Linked DNA regions of Saccharomyces cerevisiae S288C. The protein of the gene in region 2 binds, or shares a complex with, the protein of the main gene of each other region. Each region holds a gene or a part of one and is shown on either strand. Other genes may lie near its edges. A codon is read from its position in the direction of its gene.

Evidence for each region.
Region 1: the proteins of TAF10 (region 2) and SPT3 are in contact, whole or in part, in a cryo-EM structure (PDB 6T9I), measured with the Saccharomyces cerevisiae proteins. Residues at the interface, in NP_010451.3 of Saccharomyces cerevisiae: Phe120 (codon at 2,271), Ile124 (codon at 2,283), Asp127 (codon at 2,292), Tyr129 (codon at 2,298), Glu130 (codon at 2,301), Tyr131 (codon at 2,304), Arg133 (codon at 2,310), Ile134 (codon at 2,313), Arg135 (codon at 2,316), Ser137 (codon at 2,322), Val140 (codon at 2,331), Asn142 (codon at 2,337), Ala143 (codon at 2,340), Asn144 (codon at 2,343), Ser146 (codon at 2,349), Gln147 (codon at 2,352), Arg149 (codon at 2,358), Ala150 (codon at 2,361), Leu154 (codon at 2,373), Thr176 (codon at 2,439), Val181 (codon at 2,454), Glu194 (codon at 2,493), Tyr195 (codon at 2,496), Gly196 (codon at 2,499), Leu197 (codon at 2,502); in NP_010680.1 of Saccharomyces cerevisiae: Thr50 (codon at 1,367), Leu53 (codon at 1,358), Arg54 (codon at 1,355), Glu62 (codon at 1,331), Phe66 (codon at 1,319), Arg69 (codon at 1,310), His70 (codon at 1,307), Lys140 (codon at 1,097), Leu141 (codon at 1,094), Pro142 (codon at 1,091), Trp143 (codon at 1,088), Glu144 (codon at 1,085), Phe147 (codon at 1,076), Met148 (codon at 1,073), Phe149 (codon at 1,070), Asn150 (codon at 1,067), His152 (codon at 1,061), Pro153 (codon at 1,058), Leu154 (codon at 1,055), Arg318 (codon at 563), His319 (codon at 560), Arg320 (codon at 557), Ala321 (codon at 554), Leu322 (codon at 551), Lys326 (codon at 539), Leu330 (codon at 527).
Region 3: the proteins of TAF10 (region 2) and SPT7 are in contact, whole or in part, in a cryo-EM structure (PDB 6T9I), measured with the Saccharomyces cerevisiae proteins. Residues at the interface, in NP_010451.3 of Saccharomyces cerevisiae: Arg69 (codon at 2,118), Asp71 (codon at 2,124), Lys72 (codon at 2,127), Leu74 (codon at 2,133), Glu75 (codon at 2,136), Ile77 (codon at 2,142), Met80 (codon at 2,151), Ser83 (codon at 2,160), Thr84 (codon at 2,163), Pro85 (codon at 2,166), Pro86 (codon at 2,169), Ile87 (codon at 2,172), Ile88 (codon at 2,175), Pro89 (codon at 2,178), Asp90 (codon at 2,181), Ala91 (codon at 2,184), Val92 (codon at 2,187), Ile93 (codon at 2,190), Asp94 (codon at 2,193), Tyr95 (codon at 2,196), Tyr96 (codon at 2,199), Leu97 (codon at 2,202), Thr98 (codon at 2,205), Asn100 (codon at 2,211), Gly101 (codon at 2,214), Phe102 (codon at 2,217), Val109 (codon at 2,238), Leu112 (codon at 2,247), Leu113 (codon at 2,250), Leu115 (codon at 2,256); in NP_009637.1 of Saccharomyces cerevisiae: Arg892 (codon at 3,350), Phe893 (codon at 3,347), Asn896 (codon at 3,338), Leu899 (codon at 3,329), Gly900 (codon at 3,326), Leu901 (codon at 3,323), Thr902 (codon at 3,320), Met905 (codon at 3,311), His920 (codon at 3,266), Ile922 (codon at 3,260), Ser923 (codon at 3,257), Ile925 (codon at 3,251), Arg926 (codon at 3,248), Met927 (codon at 3,245), Gln929 (codon at 3,239), Ser930 (codon at 3,236), Lys973 (codon at 3,107), Asn974 (codon at 3,104), Arg976 (codon at 3,098), Ile979 (codon at 3,089), Phe982 (codon at 3,080), Met983 (codon at 3,077), Asn986 (codon at 3,068), Val990 (codon at 3,056), Ala991 (codon at 3,053), Asn994 (codon at 3,044), Gly995 (codon at 3,041), Phe996 (codon at 3,038), Glu997 (codon at 3,035), Thr998 (codon at 3,032).

What each region holds. Positions count from the first base shown.
Region 1 is NC_001136.10:1,255,652-1,260,209, reverse strand, and holds SPT3 (transcriptional regulator SPT3), read right to left. Parts: upstream 1,515-4,558; coding exon 501-1,514; downstream 1-500. Other genes in the region: SHE9 (She9p), read right to left, coding at 1-309; IAT4 (Iat4p), read left to right, coding at 2,154-2,852; E1 ubiquitin-activating protein UBA2, read left to right, coding at 3,363-4,558. UniProt on the Saccharomyces cerevisiae protein: Component of the transcription coactivator SAGA complex. SAGA acts as a general cofactor required for essentially all RNA polymerase II transcription. At the promoters, SAGA is required for transcription pre-initiation complex (PIC) recruitment.
Region 2 is NC_001136.10:787,536-792,093, forward strand, and holds TAF10 (Taf10p), read left to right. Parts: upstream 1-1,913; coding exon 1,914-2,534; downstream 2,535-4,558. Other genes in the region: exocyst subunit SEC5, read right to left, coding at 1-1,686; Hsp90 co-chaperone CDC37, read left to right, coding at 2,793-4,313.
Region 3 is NC_001134.8:399,229-406,804, forward strand, and holds SPT7 (SAGA histone acetyltransferase complex subunit SPT7), read right to left. Parts: upstream 6,024-7,576; coding exon 2,025-6,023; downstream 1-2,024. Other genes in the region: AAA family ATPase SEC18, read right to left, coding at 1-1,662; E2 ubiquitin-conjugating protein UBC4, read right to left, coding at 7,400-7,576. UniProt on the Saccharomyces cerevisiae protein: Component of the transcription coactivator SAGA complex. SAGA acts as a general cofactor required for essentially all RNA polymerase II transcription. At the promoters, SAGA is required for transcription pre-initiation complex (PIC) recruitment.

The DNA.
Region 1 (4,558 bases), 470 kb from region 2:
TTGAATTGATTTTTTGGCCTTGTTAACTTGAAAGGATAATTGATCTCGGTGGAAGTTAAACCTAGAATACAATTCATTTAATTTCTTTTTCAAGTGCTGCCATTGAAGTTCTATATTTTCTTTCCAAACAGCGTTATTAGGTGTCCGTATTTCATTTTTATTAGTGCTGCCTTTATCAGGAGTATCACCGTTCTGTAGAGAATATGAACTATAATGAAATGGCCTGGTGAAAGATGACGCCCTCAACATTAATTTGTTAATGCTGAATACTAAGGGTAAGTTTCTTGTCGCCCCATAGTATCTCAACATCACGCAATTTTTTAATCACTGAGTTCACCCGTTACAATTTCACAACGAAAAAGACCCCAATGATCAGATAGTCCTCTTTATAACGCGTATCTACGTACATAATCTTTATTTGTATTTTTCAATTCATTTGGCTCACATTTATCATACCAGAAGGAAACCCATGCACCTCCATGATGAAATTATACAAAAATTTACATGATAATTGGTTTAGAACTGAGTCTACCACCTTTAAAGTTGGTCAAAGCCCTATGCCTCATGTCAATTGTTTGTAGTACTCTCCAGGCTTCCTCTATATGCCTTGGTTTGAGCGGGTTTATAACATTTTCAGGTCCATCAAATAATCTTTTCTTTCTATGTAATGTGGATGATGCAAATTCAAAGTTAGTATTATCTTGGCTAGATTGCTGGGATTTGTCCTTTTGAGTCTGTAATACCTGTTCTCTTTGTTTGATTTTCAGAGCTGTTTCCGTCAAAGAACAGACAATCTCAAAAGTTAGAAACCCCAGTATATCAATCACATCATCATGGGGTTTCCCCTCAGTTAATTGCGAAATTCCAGACCAGTCCTTGAACCTTTTATTCTTCCTAAATGTAAAACTTGCCTGTCGACAATCGGACCAATGCACGTACTCCTCTTTAGTCATGTTTCGTGTTCTATCGTCAGCCATTTTCAGCCTTTTCAAAGTGACTATATTAGCTTCTCGTTCATCCTCATCCATATCATCATTGTCGTCATTATTTTCTAAAGGATGTTCATTGAACATAAACTGCAATTCCCATGGCAGCTTAATTTGGGATTTCTTGACCTTCATCATGTTTCCACCATCTTTTTCGTCTTTCTCGCCACCACCTGCTTTTTTCAAATCATCTTCACCACCTGCCCCAGGATTTCCAGTGCCACTCGCTACACCGGCACTAGCATCTTGGTCCTTGGCGTTTTTACGCAAATCCTTCCATGACAGATATGTTCTCAAACGATTGACTTTGGCCTTGTCGTGTCTGATCAAGAAAATGACGTCTTCAGGGAGAATGCTCCTACTTCCCCTAAGATGCGCCGTTTTGTTTGACTGTAAAAGAATTTCTATCACTTGACCCCTCACTATATCTTCTATCAGTGATGTGGTTTCTACGGGTGGGTCGTTAATTTCACCAGAGACAAACATCATCTGTTGAATCTCCACACGATACTTATGCTTGTCCATCATTCCTGCCCTAATCTCTTGAATTTTGGCACGGTACCTTGTATGCACTCTTCCCCGGGTTCAGAGTGTCTTCAACCTTACTTTTTACTTTTCGTTTCCGCCGATCTATATTACATGGTTCGGATTTTCTTCTTTTCTGTGCGCTGCGCTTGAAGCCTCAAGAAAGGGCAGCTTTGAACAAGACGTTCTTGCGATAGAGATGAATGAGAATGCATTGAACGCAATGTATACCTATTTTGGCGGCATAAAAAACTTGTTTTCGAGATTGCAGTTGAATCTGAATGTAGCGAGGAGACGAACAAAAAATTGGAGTTCCTACTGTATTGCAAAGAAACTAAGAGACGCCCGCTAATGCTGCCGGAAATGTACGGTGATCTCTTAAAGTTGATTGACCGATAACGCAAAAATAATGCAGCAAACTGTAGATAACTCTTTTTTATCGTAATATTTCTATTAGTATCCAGATATTTCACTCCAAATCACAGCAGACGTTGGTGTGAACGGCATCAGAGTCCCAGGGGCTGAGATAAGTGAAAAAAATGAAATGCCGCCGGCGTATATATAACAGTTATTGTACCTGATATTATGCCAAGTCACTCACTAATCTCGAGAAAATAATTCTAAGACATGTAACCGAACATCATGTCCTTCGAGAACAAACTGCCAACTCCATTAGAAAACAACGATGCTAAGGGCCATATGGTCTGTACCCTGAACAAGACTACGGATGCCAGAAGAGCAGCAGAGACTTTGTCTATTGCTTTTAGTAACTCGCCAGCGTTTCATTTTATCTGCAAGAAAATCTTAAATATTCCTCTAGCTGAGAAGGTGCCTACAAGGACAATAACCACCGATATCATATCGCCATTCCTGGATTCACCTTATGGTGAGATCTCCGAAGTTAATACTTTCGATGCTGTTGCAGTGTGGAGTCTTCCACCTCACGTTCCGAAGGCAAGGAGTAATGATGCAAAGTTCAACAAGGACTTTATTGACGATTTAAATGCTCGCGTAAAGCAAGTCATTCCAAATGGCATCAATTACTACTATCTTTTCTGTATTGGTAAGAACTTAAATGAGAAAGGAATCAGAGGTTCTGTAAGGACTATTTTTGAAGAGTACAAAAGGAGAGCAGACGAAGAAAATTGCGCCATTGTCCTTGAAGCTATTGCCGAGCATGCTAAATCTGTGTACGAATATTTTGGATTTAGAAATTACATGACGTTCAAATACGGTGAGTGTGAGGTCGACTCTAACGGCAATTGCGATCCGAATGGTGAAGGGTTCACAGCCTATTTAATGATATATCATAAGGACGGTAATAAAGTCTTAAAAGAGTAGTTTTTGAGCTTTTTCTTTCCCCCCTTCAAGTAATTATTTAGAATAAAAAGTAGTGTTTAAAGACGACATTTTGGAGCATGCACTGTATAACCAGGTTCAAAAAAATTTCGCCTGCTATTGTTTTCTTTATTTTGAAGATGTGAGAAAAGTCTCATATCTAGTGAGCTTCAGTCTGTTTTTAGATGTAGTTAGCAATTACTATTTTAGGTATTTCTTTGCGCGGTTACGGTCTCAAGAATTTATATTACCACAAAACCTATGTAAGCTAGATCTTCTTAGCGAAAGTGGTTCAGTGGTTAGAATTCATGCTTCCCAAGCATGGGGCCCGGGTTCGATTCCCGGCTTCCGCATTTTTTGTGCAATTTTTTTTTATACTCTATTTTCAAGTTAAAGTTTTTCAAAGGCGAAGTATGTTTACGCTAAATCAAGATATTTGGATGAGCAATCCACTAATTGCGTACTTCAACAGACACACAAGATCAGGAGCGCTACGCCAAACAAGAAAAGAAAATGCCAAGGGAAACAAGTTTGGTAACAATCATCGGTGAAGATAGTTACAAGAAATTACGGTCCTCAAGATGTCTTCTGGTCGGTGCTGGGGGCATAGGGTCTGAATTGTTAAAGGATATAATCTTGATGGAATTTGGTGAAATACATATTGTCGATTTGGACACCATTGACCTTTCGAACTTAAACAGGCAATTTCTTTTTAGACAAAAAGATATTAAACAACCGAAGTCTACCACAGCCGTAAAAGCAGTACAGCATTTCAATAACTCTAAGTTAGTGCCTTACCAAGGAAATGTTATGGACATTTCTACCTTCCCACTGCATTGGTTTGAGCAATTTGACATTATCTTCAATGCTCTTGATAACTTGGCCGCAAGACGGTATGTCAATAAAATATCACAGTTTCTATCACTGCCCTTAATAGAATCTGGAACAGCTGGATTTGATGGATACATGCAGCCTATTATCCCCGGGAAAACTGAGTGTTTTGAATGTACAAAGAAGGAAACACCAAAGACTTTTCCTGTGTGTACTATCAGGTCCACTCCTTCTCAGCCAATTCATTGCATTGTTTGGGCGAAAAACTTTCTATTTAACCAGCTATTTGCGTCAGAGACCTCTGGAAATGAAGATGATAACAACCAGGATTGGGGTACAGATGATGCTGAAGAAATTAAGCGCATTAAACAAGAAACTAATGAATTGTATGAATTGCAAAAAATTATCATATCAAGAGATGCATCCCGTATTCCAGAGATTCTTAATAAATTATTCATTCAGGATATAAATAAACTGCTAGCCATTGAAAATTTATGGAAAACGAGAACAAAGCCAGTACCATTATCAGACTCTCAAATAAATACTCCTACTAAAACAGCTCAGTCTGCCTCTAATTCTGTTGGCACAATACAGGAGCAAATTAGTAATTTCATTAATATTACACAAAAATTAATGGATCGCTATCCCAAAGAGCAAAATCATATTGAATTTGATAAAGATGATGCTGATACTTTGGAATTCGTCGCAACTGCTGCGAACATAAGGTCACACATATTCAATATTCCAATGAAGTCCGTATTTGACATCAAGCAAATTGCTGGTAACATTATCCCGGCTATTGCAACAACGAATGCTATCGTTGCCGGTGCATCGTCATTGATTTCACTGCGCGTTTTAAATCTTTTGAAATATGCCCC
Region 2 (4,558 bases):
TGGTAGAGATGATTGAGAAGATGTGAAAAATGATATTAAATTTTGTGAGACTGAAGTGATGAATTCCTCGCCCTTTAACCTAACCTCGTTAATCTGTTCTTCCTTCAAGATCAAGCTTTTTTGGTATGATTCAATAATATTAGAATCACCGATCAAAATGTTTTCTTTTCTTTTTTCATTTATAATGGAATTTTGGTAAGTCCCATCGAGGAACTTTTCAATGTGTTCCCAGAATTCTATAAATTGATCACAAATTTTCCACAGGTCGTTAATATATTTTAAGATTAATAGCCACATTTCAATGATAGTTGGGGAATCAGTTAGTCCTTGAGAGCTGGGTTGGCAATTCAAATTTAGATAGCTGGTTCCAGAAATGGTGTTAACTTTATTGGGTTCAACGGTACTTTTCAAACCTTCACTATCCTTGCCCGTATCACTTATTATTTGGAATAATTGATTGATTTTCAAATAATACGACAGCTCCACGCACCCTTGACTTTTATCTTGATTAGTATTGTTTTGTAATATAAGCCTTTGAGAATGAATGATTTTACTAATCATATGGCCAGACAACTCGTTCAGTTCATTCTGAAAGCCATTCATTTTGATGGACATCCATCTTAGGATTGGATTTTCATTGGATGATGAAGTTGTGTTCTTGTTACCACTTTCACTTTCTCTTTGATTATTATTGATAAAGTTTTCTAAGTTCAACAATTTTGAAAAGAGGGACAAAATTGTTTCTTGGGGTTGGTCAATGTTAAAATTTGAATTTATTAAACTGTTCCAAATCAGATCTTTATACGTGACTAATAAATTTTCTATTTGAGTCCAAATTCTTTTTATAACAAGAGATTGTGAAGCATCTGAACTCTGGTTGAAACGGCGACGGAGCGTAAGACCTTTTGAATATTCGATAATGAACTCATTGAAATCGTTGTTAGTCAAACATCTCTTTAAAGATTTGGGTAGGTTGAAGTAAAACTTATTCAATTCAATAAATTTTTTGGTGGCCTGGTAATTCAAAATTTTCTGATAGTTATCCATTAGCGGTTTCAGTTTGAAAGTTGTTGTTCTAATAACCTCGTCGACCTTTTTATTTAAGCTTTCCACATTTATTTGATTTTCTTTTGGTGAATCACATTGGTTTTTTTCATTCGTTTTCTCGTCAAATTCTTTGTAAATTTGGTCTAACTTGTTTTTAATCTTAACATACTTGGTGAAATTTTTACCAACCAATTGTTTCAAATGTATAGATTGGTCTTGTATATCACTGTCCAACCTGTCCAGTGAGTTATTTAGATCATTGAAAGAGTCTTGTTTGTGCATATCTCTCAGAAAGGCTTTGACGTTGAATTGTTTACTGTTGACAAGATAGTTCAACCGCATTGAATCATTTGGTAGATGTTGCAATTCTTTAGACATTTCTTGTCCATTCAAGGGATCTCTAATATAACTTAACGACTCATCGTTTAAATATGCTCTCGATTCCTTGTCAATGCTAATTTGATTGCCATATTTGAAGTCTTTTAATATGTCGAATGACGTTTCAACGCCAAGTTCATTGCTTGTAGCCTCTTCATTATTCAATTTTGAGGAATCTTGGGCCCAGGAATGGGTCGGATTAATAGTCTTCAACTGATAAAAACGAAGTAGTTGCTCGTCGCCAATTTGAAACCTATCCATGGTACCAAACTTTTTTTCGCTACTTTATTTCAACAGAAACTTCTTTCCTAGTTTAGCAGCTTTAACGCAGCTTATTTTTGTTACTTTAGTTGAATAGTAGGAGTTGATACTTTTGTTTTTTCAAGTTGAAAACAGAAACGAAAAATTAAAGAAGCTGCAGATTCAGCATTCATGCCTAAGCTAAAAAGAACTGGCAGCGAAGAACAGAGGAAAGAATAACTGAAACTATGGATTTTGAGGAAGATTACGATGCGGAGTTTGATGATAATCAAGAAGGACAATTAGAAACACCTTTTCCATCGGTTGCGGGAGCCGATGATGGGGACAATGATAATGATGACTCTGTCGCAGAAAACATGAAGAAGAAGCAAAAGAGAGAGGCTGTAGTGGATGATGGGAGTGAAAATGCATTTGGTATACCCGAATTTACAAGAAAAGATAAGACTCTGGAGGAGATTCTAGAGATGATGGACAGTACTCCTCCTATCATTCCCGATGCAGTAATAGACTACTATTTAACCAAAAACGGGTTTAACGTAGCAGATGTACGAGTGAAACGACTTTTAGCACTTGCTACTCAGAAATTTGTTAGTGATATAGCTAAGGATGCCTACGAATATTCCAGGATCAGGTCTTCCGTAGCGGTATCTAATGCTAACAACAGTCAGGCGAGAGCTAGGCAGCTATTGCAAGGACAGCAACAGCCTGGCGTGCAGCAGATTTCACAACAACAACATCAACAGAATGAGAAGACTACAGCAAGCAAAGTTGTTCTGACGGTGAACGATCTCAGTAGCGCTGTTGCTGAATACGGGCTCAATATAGGTCGCCCAGACTTTTATCGTTAGTGGCTAACAAATGGAAATGAAATATGTATATAGTGTAGCAGTATGCAACTCTTTTAAATACACGATTCGTTATTAGATTGATTAGAGCACTTATTCACGCAAATTTGACACGCTTTTTGAACATCCGTTTTTCACGATTTTTTACTGAAGGATCATGAAAGATTGCCACATAAGAGAACACCTCCGTTGCACCAACACTTCATCACGATAAAAAAACTATCGAGCTATCGTACTACGGAACAACTACATAAGTCAAAAATGGCCATTGATTACTCTAAGTGGGATAAAATTGAACTATCAGATGATTCTGATGTCGAGGTGCATCCTAATGTGGACAAGAAATCGTTCATTAAATGGAAACAACAGAGTATCCATGAACAGCGATTCAAAAGGAACCAAGATATCAAAAATTTGGAGACACAAGTGGATATGTATTCTCATTTGAACAAACGAGTGGACAGAATTTTGAGTAATTTACCTGAAAGTTCTCTTACTGATTTGCCAGCCGTTACCAAATTCTTGAATGCAAATTTTGATAAGATGGAGAAAAGTAAAGGGGAAAATGTTGATCCTGAGATTGCAACATACAATGAAATGGTTGAAGATCTTTTTGAACAATTAGCAAAAGATTTAGACAAAGAGGGCAAAGACTCGAAGAGCCCATCTCTCATAAGGGATGCTATTTTGAAACATAGGGCTAAGATCGATTCAGTAACTGTAGAGGCTAAGAAGAAATTAGATGAATTATACAAGGAGAAAAATGCACACATTTCATCTGAAGACATTCATACAGGCTTTGATAGTAGCTTTATGAACAAGCAAAAGGGGGGGGCTAAGCCACTGGAAGCAACTCCTTCAGAAGCTCTTTCGAGCGCTGCAGAGTCTAATATTCTTAATAAACTAGCAAAATCATCAGTTCCGCAAACTTTCATCGATTTTAAAGATGATCCTATGAAACTGGCCAAGGAAACTGAAGAATTCGGTAAAATATCCATTAATGAGTACTCAAAATCTCAGAAATTCTTACTGGAGCACTTACCTATTATTTCAGAACAACAAAAGGACGCCTTAATGATGAAGGCCTTTGAGTATCAGTTACATGGTGACGATAAGATGACTTTGCAAGTCATTCATCAATCCGAATTGATGGCCTACATTAAGGAAATCTACGACATGAAGAAAATTCCATATTTAAATCCAATGGAACTATCAAATGTCATTAATATGTTTTTCGAGAAGGTTATCTTCAACAAGGACAAGCCAATGGGTAAAGAGTCTTTTTTGAGATCAGTTCAAGAAAAATTTTTGCACATTCAAAAACGTTCCAAAATTTTACAACAAGAGGAAATGGATGAATCGAATGCTGAAGGAGTAGAGACGATTCAATTGAAATCTCTAGATGATTCTACAGAATTAGAAGTAAACTTGCCAGACTTCAATTCTAAAGATCCAGAAGAGATGAAAAAGGTTAAAGTTTTCAAAACTTTAATACCGGAAAAAATGCAAGAAGCCATAATGACCAAAAATTTGGATAATATTAATAAAGTCTTTGAAGATATACCAATTGAAGAGGCTGAGAAACTTTTGGAAGTGTTTAATGACATTGACATTATTGGAATAAAAGCGATCTTAGAAAACGAGAAAGACTTTCAAAGTTTGAAAGATCAATACGAACAGGACCATGAAGACGCCACTATGGAGAATCTGTCCTTAAACGACCGTGATGGTGGCGGAGATAACCATGAAGAGGTCAAACATACTGCCGACACTGTTGACTAGAAATTTATGTAGCTATTTTACTGGTGCAGCGTGCATCTACTTCCTTTTTTATTGTTATTTTCATTTATACATAATACAAAAAAAAAAAAGAAGAAAATTAATGATCAATAAAGAAAATCGTGAAATTACAGCAGAGGTTTTGTACCTGCTTTCCTACGTTAGTACATAATATCTTATTTTTTATTAGTGCATGTTTTTCTCAGTGTGTGTTTTTGTAATTTGTATATACTACACAAAGAATCGGA
Region 3 (7,576 bases), on a different chromosome or scaffold from region 2:
TTTATCACTCTCGCGAACTTGGCGGACGTAACGGGCTCCGTTCTTCAATATTGAGTTAACTCGTTCGGAATAAAGCATCATTCCACCTTCCACACATGTTTTCAAATCTTCTTCACTAATCCCAAAAGCGGGAGTAACATCGTTGAGTGCATTTAAAAAGTCTTCTCTTGTTACTTTAAGTTTTGCTATATCTTTAGTGTTAAGTTTTGTGGCACCTTTCCCGATGTTGACGGTTTTGTTGATTGCAAAAGAACTTGCACTCTTCACTAAACCCTCAATCTCAGCACCAGAGAAGTTTTTTGTTAACGCAGCTAACTCAGCTAAGTTAACATCGTCGCTCATCATATTATTTTCCCTCATTTTCTTCGTCTGAATGTCGAAAATTTGGAGTCTTCCTTTTTCATCGGGTAAATGAATTTCAACTTGGACTTCAAATCTACCTGGACGCAAAAGAGCACTGTCTATTAAATCTTTACGATTGGTCATACCAATAACCAAAATATTATTCAATTGATCAACACCATCCATTTTAGCTAACAATTGATTAACTACATTGTCCCCTACACCGGTACCATCACCTCTTGAACCTCTCTGCTTGAAAACAGAATCCAGCTCATCGAAAATAATAATATGTAAGGAAGATTCCTCACCCTTGGCCCTATATTCTGCTTCTGCATCCTTAAATAAATTACGAATGTTTTCTTCTGAAGAACCAACGTACTTACTCAAAATTTCTGGACCATTGACGATTTTGGGCTCTTTGGCATTCAGCATTGTACCAATCTTTCTTGCAATTAAGGTCTTACCAGTACCTGGAGGACCGTACAATAGCAAACCTTTAACATGAGAAATACCCAGTTTTTCTATAACTGAAGGAGGAAAGATTCGACTTGCAAACGCTCTTCTGAAAATTTTAGTAAACTCTTTATCCAAACCACCGACACCCAAATCTTCAAACTTGAAATCCGGTCTGATCACAGCATTTGATCTTGGTCTTAATGAATTTGATGATTTCAAATTAACTAAACCATCTCTTCCTTTGAAAAAATTAATTTGTGTTTGTTTTGTCAAAATTCCCTTTGTCTCTATCCCAGTTGCAACAGCGGAGGTTGGTTCAATATCACCCAAATCGATTGCTTGGACATTTCTAATTTTTAAGTCAAAGAAATGGCCTTGGAACTCCATGATAAGGTACTGGGTGGGAGAAAATATTTGAGATTCGTAGCAACGAACAAATTGTTTGGCTAACTCATCTTGATCGAATACCGTGCTTACCGCCTTACCTCTAGCTCTGAATGAGATATCTATATCTATTGAACCAAGATACGATTGCTTACCGGAATACTTGAATAAATCAAATGCTTTTGCTTGCACGTCTTGATTTAGGGACCAACCACCCCAGGTACGCTGGTTACCGTTAAATCCAATGGTTCCCGGTGGAATGTCGTTGGAGTGTCTAGTTGTGAAAACAAATAAATTATCGATAATAATATAAATGTTATTAGGGAAATCATTTGGTGAGACAGCAGCTACGTTTGCGAGTGCATAGGAGTTATTTGGACAGTTTGACACCTTTAAATGGCGTGTACGGGTATCCATGTTTGTCATATCTGGTGGAGTATGATTTGCAGCAGCTTTTCCAAAACCAGGTATCTTGAACATACTCAATTTATAAAGGCTGAATATACGGTACTATTTGCTCTTATCTTTGAGAGAAACAACGGTAGTACTTAAAGGCTACGAATAAGCCAATTTCATGAATCTCGAAATTTGGTACGCCTAACGTATAGTGTGATACCGAATTAACCCATGGGAAATACCTTTTTTTAGTGACGCTACGCTTGTGTAAAGAGAAAAAAATACTAGGTGACATTTTAGAGAGGGTACTGCAGAAGTATAAAGCGTACTCTGAGTATTAAAGTGCATTGAATTGGAATCCTACATCAACTACAAGTAAATAGTACAACCTTTATAAGCAAATGTATTTAATTAAAGATAAAATATTCAACTATTTAGCGCGCTCATTATTGATTAAGGCGAGGAAGGCTCAAGCTAAATGAACTATTGCTGCCCATATTGGTATCATCAAAAGCATCATCCATATCCAAAGGATCTAAAGGTTGAGGCGTTCGCAAAAATAAGGAAGAATCTCCATCATTTTCTGCACCCACTTTGGCGTTTACAGTTGTTGTTGGATCCGCTTTTACGTCGTTTTCCAAGTCTTCTTCTGGAAGTATAAACGCGCTTGCGATCGGTTTCTTTTTGTATGTGGTACTTATCTTACCAGTAGGAGGTAATCTTGCCTTCGTTGCGGTTTTCTTTGAGACAAACTGATCCTCTTCTAGTAAAGCGAAAGAATTGTCTTCTGTGGAAGTCATTGAGGTTTTATCATTTGCAGATGACTTGCTTTGCTTTGCTATATAGGCCTTGGAACGTTCATAATCTTTTTGTAATAGGGGAAGTAGAGTATTCCAGAATGAACCAGCATCCAGCATACCTTTTGTAATTTTCTTATACACAATGCTGTCTGATTCTTCCGGTTGGATCTTTTTGGCCTGCACTTTGGTTTCCCCGTCAACAGTTTGAAACTGAGTAGTCAGTAACTGTAATGGAACAGATGAACTCAAAACTCCAAACTCCTTTTCTAATCCAAGCTCTCTAAAACCAAAGAAGTCTTCACCAGTCAATTCGCTGGCAAAGTCACCTGTAAAAAAGCTTTGGCTCTCGTCTTCAAAGTTTCTCTCGGACAACTCCTGCAAAGTTGGCCTTAATAAGGCTCTCAAAAAGCTTTCTAGTTTCTGTTTGATGTCCTGAAGTTTCTTAGTTTTTTTACCAAATTCAGATTCAACATAGGAAAATAGATCGTCTGGCCTGTTGATACCGTTTTCCAACAGTGTTGTTTGCAGCATTTCCACATTTGTTCCTCTATTTAAGGAGTTAGTTTCATGATGAAGCTTCAAAGTCTTTATCAGATTAGATAGGTAATCCCCGGCGATTTCAGTAAGCATGTTTATTGCTGATGGATGGGCAGTTTCAAACCCATTGGCCATAGCAACCTTAGATATGTTCTTATGCATGAATTTCCATATCAGCTCCCTGTTGTTTTTGTAATCATGCGTTGGAAGCTGTGACACCGGATCAATATCGAGTGAGTCATCAATAATAGTGTAATTATAAATGTGGTTGTTAAGGAAAGCGTTGGGATTGCTTCTGGAGTTTTGAGCCGATAAAGGGCTCTGTAACATTCTGATCAGGGATATTTTATGGCATATGTGCCTAATTTGCTGAATCAGTGTGATATTTTGGTTCATTTTAGGTGTTAGTCCTAAATCCTTGTTAGCCAGAAATCTGCTTTGTTTGTTGATACCATTTTGAAGCATGCGGTCCACGGAAGCGTCTTCCATCTTGTCTAATGTTTTAGTATTTACTCCCTCGTATACTATGTCAGGAATGGCGTTACTAATATCATATTCCTGTAGGAATCTGGTATCATCTAACTCAATATCATTGGGTTGCTTTTCAAAAGCTTCATTTCCATTTAAAGAGTGATCATTATGAAACTGCAATTGGTCATCGTCTTCCTGTTTTAGTACTGTTCCAAAGCCATTTTTCATAATGGAATTTTGCTCTATTTTTTGACGATATGATTCTAAAGCTTTCTGCTCTTTATATTCAAGAAAAAGCTGGTCGAACCTTTTCATTCTTTGTGGGTTTTTCAAAAACGCCTCTGAATCACTATTTAATTTTCCATTTTTAAAATATTCAGTTCTTTTTAAGCAAATTTCCGCACGAACTTTGGCAGTTACAGTTTTCCACACGGATATTTCCAAATCGTCTCTATCGTCATCCTTTTCAAGTAAATAAGATTGGGAGTCGACCATGTCTTCGTCTTCATCTTCGTCATCATCATCCTCTTCCTCTTCATTATTTTCCCCAGCCTCCTTATTTTCTGCAGTTTTATCTTGTAGTCCGTCTTCCGTATCCTTTTTGGCAGCATCAGCATCTTTTGATGAATCCTCAGTCTTACTACTTTCCTCAACCATATCTTGCTCTTCATTTTTCCCATTTTCTTTTATTTCGTTCTTATTTACATTTTCGTGTACCGTTACAGTAGATGAAGCAGTTTTATCTTTCTCTTTTTCCCCCTCAGGGATGACAGAAGTTAGTTTGTCATCATTGGTTGGTGCTTCATCCTTGACGGTTTTAGAGCTATCTTTTTCTGACACCTTGCCATTCTCTTTGGCCAACATATGAGCTCCCATATTCAATCCTTTTCTTCCAGAACCAGCAACTTCCTCTTCCTCATCTAATTCGTAGTCTTTGTCTTTTTCCATATCTTCAATTTCCTTTTCTAAATCAGCCCTGTTTCGGATTGTGATATTTGGAATCATGCGAATCAACTGAAGAGATTTCTTCTGCATAGCAATAGCATGCCCTCTCAAAAAATGTGAAGGATCTGAATTATAGGTCAAACAATTTTTCCATATTAGCATAATATCGTCTACAAATTCTTGTTTGGAGTCATATTGAAAGCTTTTCAGTTTTTTTAAAACAGTATTCAGGTCCATGGACTTTTTGATGATTTGATGATAATTGGGGGCTTCTCTTTTGCTCACTTTATTCAGAAATGGTGTAGAATGCTCAGTGTAGTTTCTAAGTTCCAAAACAACCTTTTCACAGGCTTCGTATAATTCCTCTTGCCCAATTCTTTCATCCGATGTCCATTTTGACCGATTTTTTCTGACATCCATAATCAGATGTTTTAATTCGTAATCTGATATTCCTAATTGGGATTTTTTTTGCTGGATAGATGATAGAAGGTGCTTTAATGATAAATTTTCGATGCCTAGATTGACTGTTAAATCTAAATTACTTTGTTTGGGGCGCTTGTTCCCAGTATCGCTGAATGTTGAACCTTCAGGAGTGGGCAATTTTTGATTAGTATCTGGCTCATCATTTGTATTTTCGCGATCTTGTTCATCGGTAGCTGCTTCTAAATCACTTCGACTTCGTTTCTTCTTTCCTTTCTCTATCATTTTATCGCTTTCTTCAAGTTTTAATCGCTTTATCATAGTTTCTTTATCGTATTCAAAACTGTGGTAAATTTTGTTCCAATTTCCCATAATTTCTTCTACATTATTTGTTTTTAACTTTGACAGTGTTTCTTTTGATATTGAGATATTTAGCACCAAGCGTCGTTCATCGTCAATTTCGATATTAGAAGAGGAAATAGAATCGAGATTTTTTGGAGGATCATCGACATTTTTTACGTCTGTACTGTCTTCATCATAGTTCTCGTCTTCATCGTCGTAATCTTCATCCTCGGCGAACTTCGAAATACCTTCTTTGTTTTGTGGCTTCTCATTTTTACCAATTTCCTCTTCCTCCTTCTCTTCAACATCTAATAGGGTGTATTCTGTATCATTTTCATCACCAAACTCATTACGATCACAGTATATATAATCTATGGCGCACTGCCACAAGACGTATCTGATTTTCAAGGATAAGTTTCCAATAAACCTTGTTCCGCTTATTTGCTGCTTCAAGTCCTCTAGATCTAATTTGAATAAGTCTTCTTCAACATTATCACTTTCGTCATTATTCACAAAATTATCTTCATTTGCTATTGCGTTATCGCCTTTATCTTCAATTTCATTTTCAACATGATTTTCATTGCTGATACTGGTGTTGGTATTAGTATTGTTATTGTCCTTAATTGTTTGTGATGATACATCATCTGATCGTGTGTCAACGGCAGGAGAGACCGCTCCGTGATGTTCTTCTTCTTGGGTTAATGGAAATGATTTTTCGACATTTAATGCTATGTTTCCCTTTAAGAAATAGTCCCATGCTTTCAGTTTGTCTTCTTCACTTGAAATCGACAGCAGGTATTCAAGAACGACCAATTGCTGAGAGGTTAAATAGAGATCAAAAAAGTTCTTGTTAAAAAGTTTTTCAGTCAATTTAAGTAAAGCTTTGGCATTTGTTCTTTGATAATTCTTTATTGGTATTCTTTCAGTCATTATTCAGACTTAATTTCTTTGTAGTGTTACAGTTTAAAGAGTAACCAACAATTTTCACTGATCCGAAGTTCAATCTGAAAAAAGGAAAGATCTTATTGTTTGACTTGCTAAATAAATAAAAGATGTATTTTGCCAACTTCTCCAATGATCTTTTTTCCTTTGTACATCTAACATAATTGAAGACTTACGAGTGTACATTCACTTTTCATTACTTGGATCTGAAATATTAGAAAGTTACCCGTACCATCAAGAATATAATCGCAGCCCTAATAATTATTCACTGGAGTTAGTCCCAACAAGCATTCCTGTAGAGATTTATTTCAGTTAAAGCTGGCCAGCATTTGACCAATTTTCCTATATGTACAATAAAAGAGCATAAGGTTTCAGTGGGGTATTTTACCTTTAAAAAAATTTCGTCTTTATTCTAAAAAGCCAATTGAAATATGCTAACTTTCATTTAATATATCCTTGCATTGGTATTTATACAGATATATTACAGATATAAGTCTTTAATACAAGCCGACACCAAAAACAAATGAATTGTCATACAAGAATAATACTGGAAGCACATCCATCTTTAGAGGAAACATGTTTTCGTTATTTCATAAAACCTTCAACAAATAGTAGCTCGCGTGGCGTAATGGCAACGCGTCTGACTTCTAATCAGAAGATTATGGGTTCGACCCCCATCGTGAGTGCTTTGTTTCTTCCGTGATAGTTTAATGGTCAGAATGGGCGCTTGTCGCGTGCCAGATCGGGGTTCAATTCCCCGTCGCGGAGATTTTTTTGGCTACTCCTGCAGTTATTCTTCTGCCTCCTTAGTACAGTGTAATGCTCCTCAGAATTTTTGCCAAACAGAGAACCAGTCATTGATCGTTGATTACATATACTAGCTATGCGTTGAACTTCAAAAATTTAAATAGGCTTCACCCCAGAAATGATGTTAATGACAATAGTAATTAACCTACAGATAGACTAGAAATGAAAAAGGTACGGTTAACGTTGACGCTCCCTCGACAAGTTAGGTCAAATATGAACCACAACTGAAATATATGCGGGATATACCCGCGCTTGCGTGCATGTAACTAAGCAAAAATTCTCCATACTGTTCGAGGAAAAAAATGTTCATGAATCTCCCCTGAATAAATTAAATTAAGGTTTACGATTCGAGTTGTTTGGAAAAAAAAAAAAAGGTTCCCCTGTACTGTTGCCAACAATAGTCTTATATCTTATATCAGTAAATCTATGTTATTAGAGATAGAATATACATATATTTTATTGTATTCTTTCTTAAATACATTGTATCTAATATTCTTTTCATCGTCCAATCCCATATAAATCTTGCTTCTCTTTTTCAGCTGAGTAAGGACTTCTGTTTATACAGCGTATTTCTTTGTCCATTCTCTGGCTGTAGCTTCGTACTTGGGTCTGTCAGTCTTGTAGATATGAGCGATTTCTGGTACTAAAGGATCGTCAGGATTAGCGTCTGTTAACAAAGAACAGATGGATAATAGGACCTTCGATAGAGTTAGAGCTGGAGACCATTGATCCTT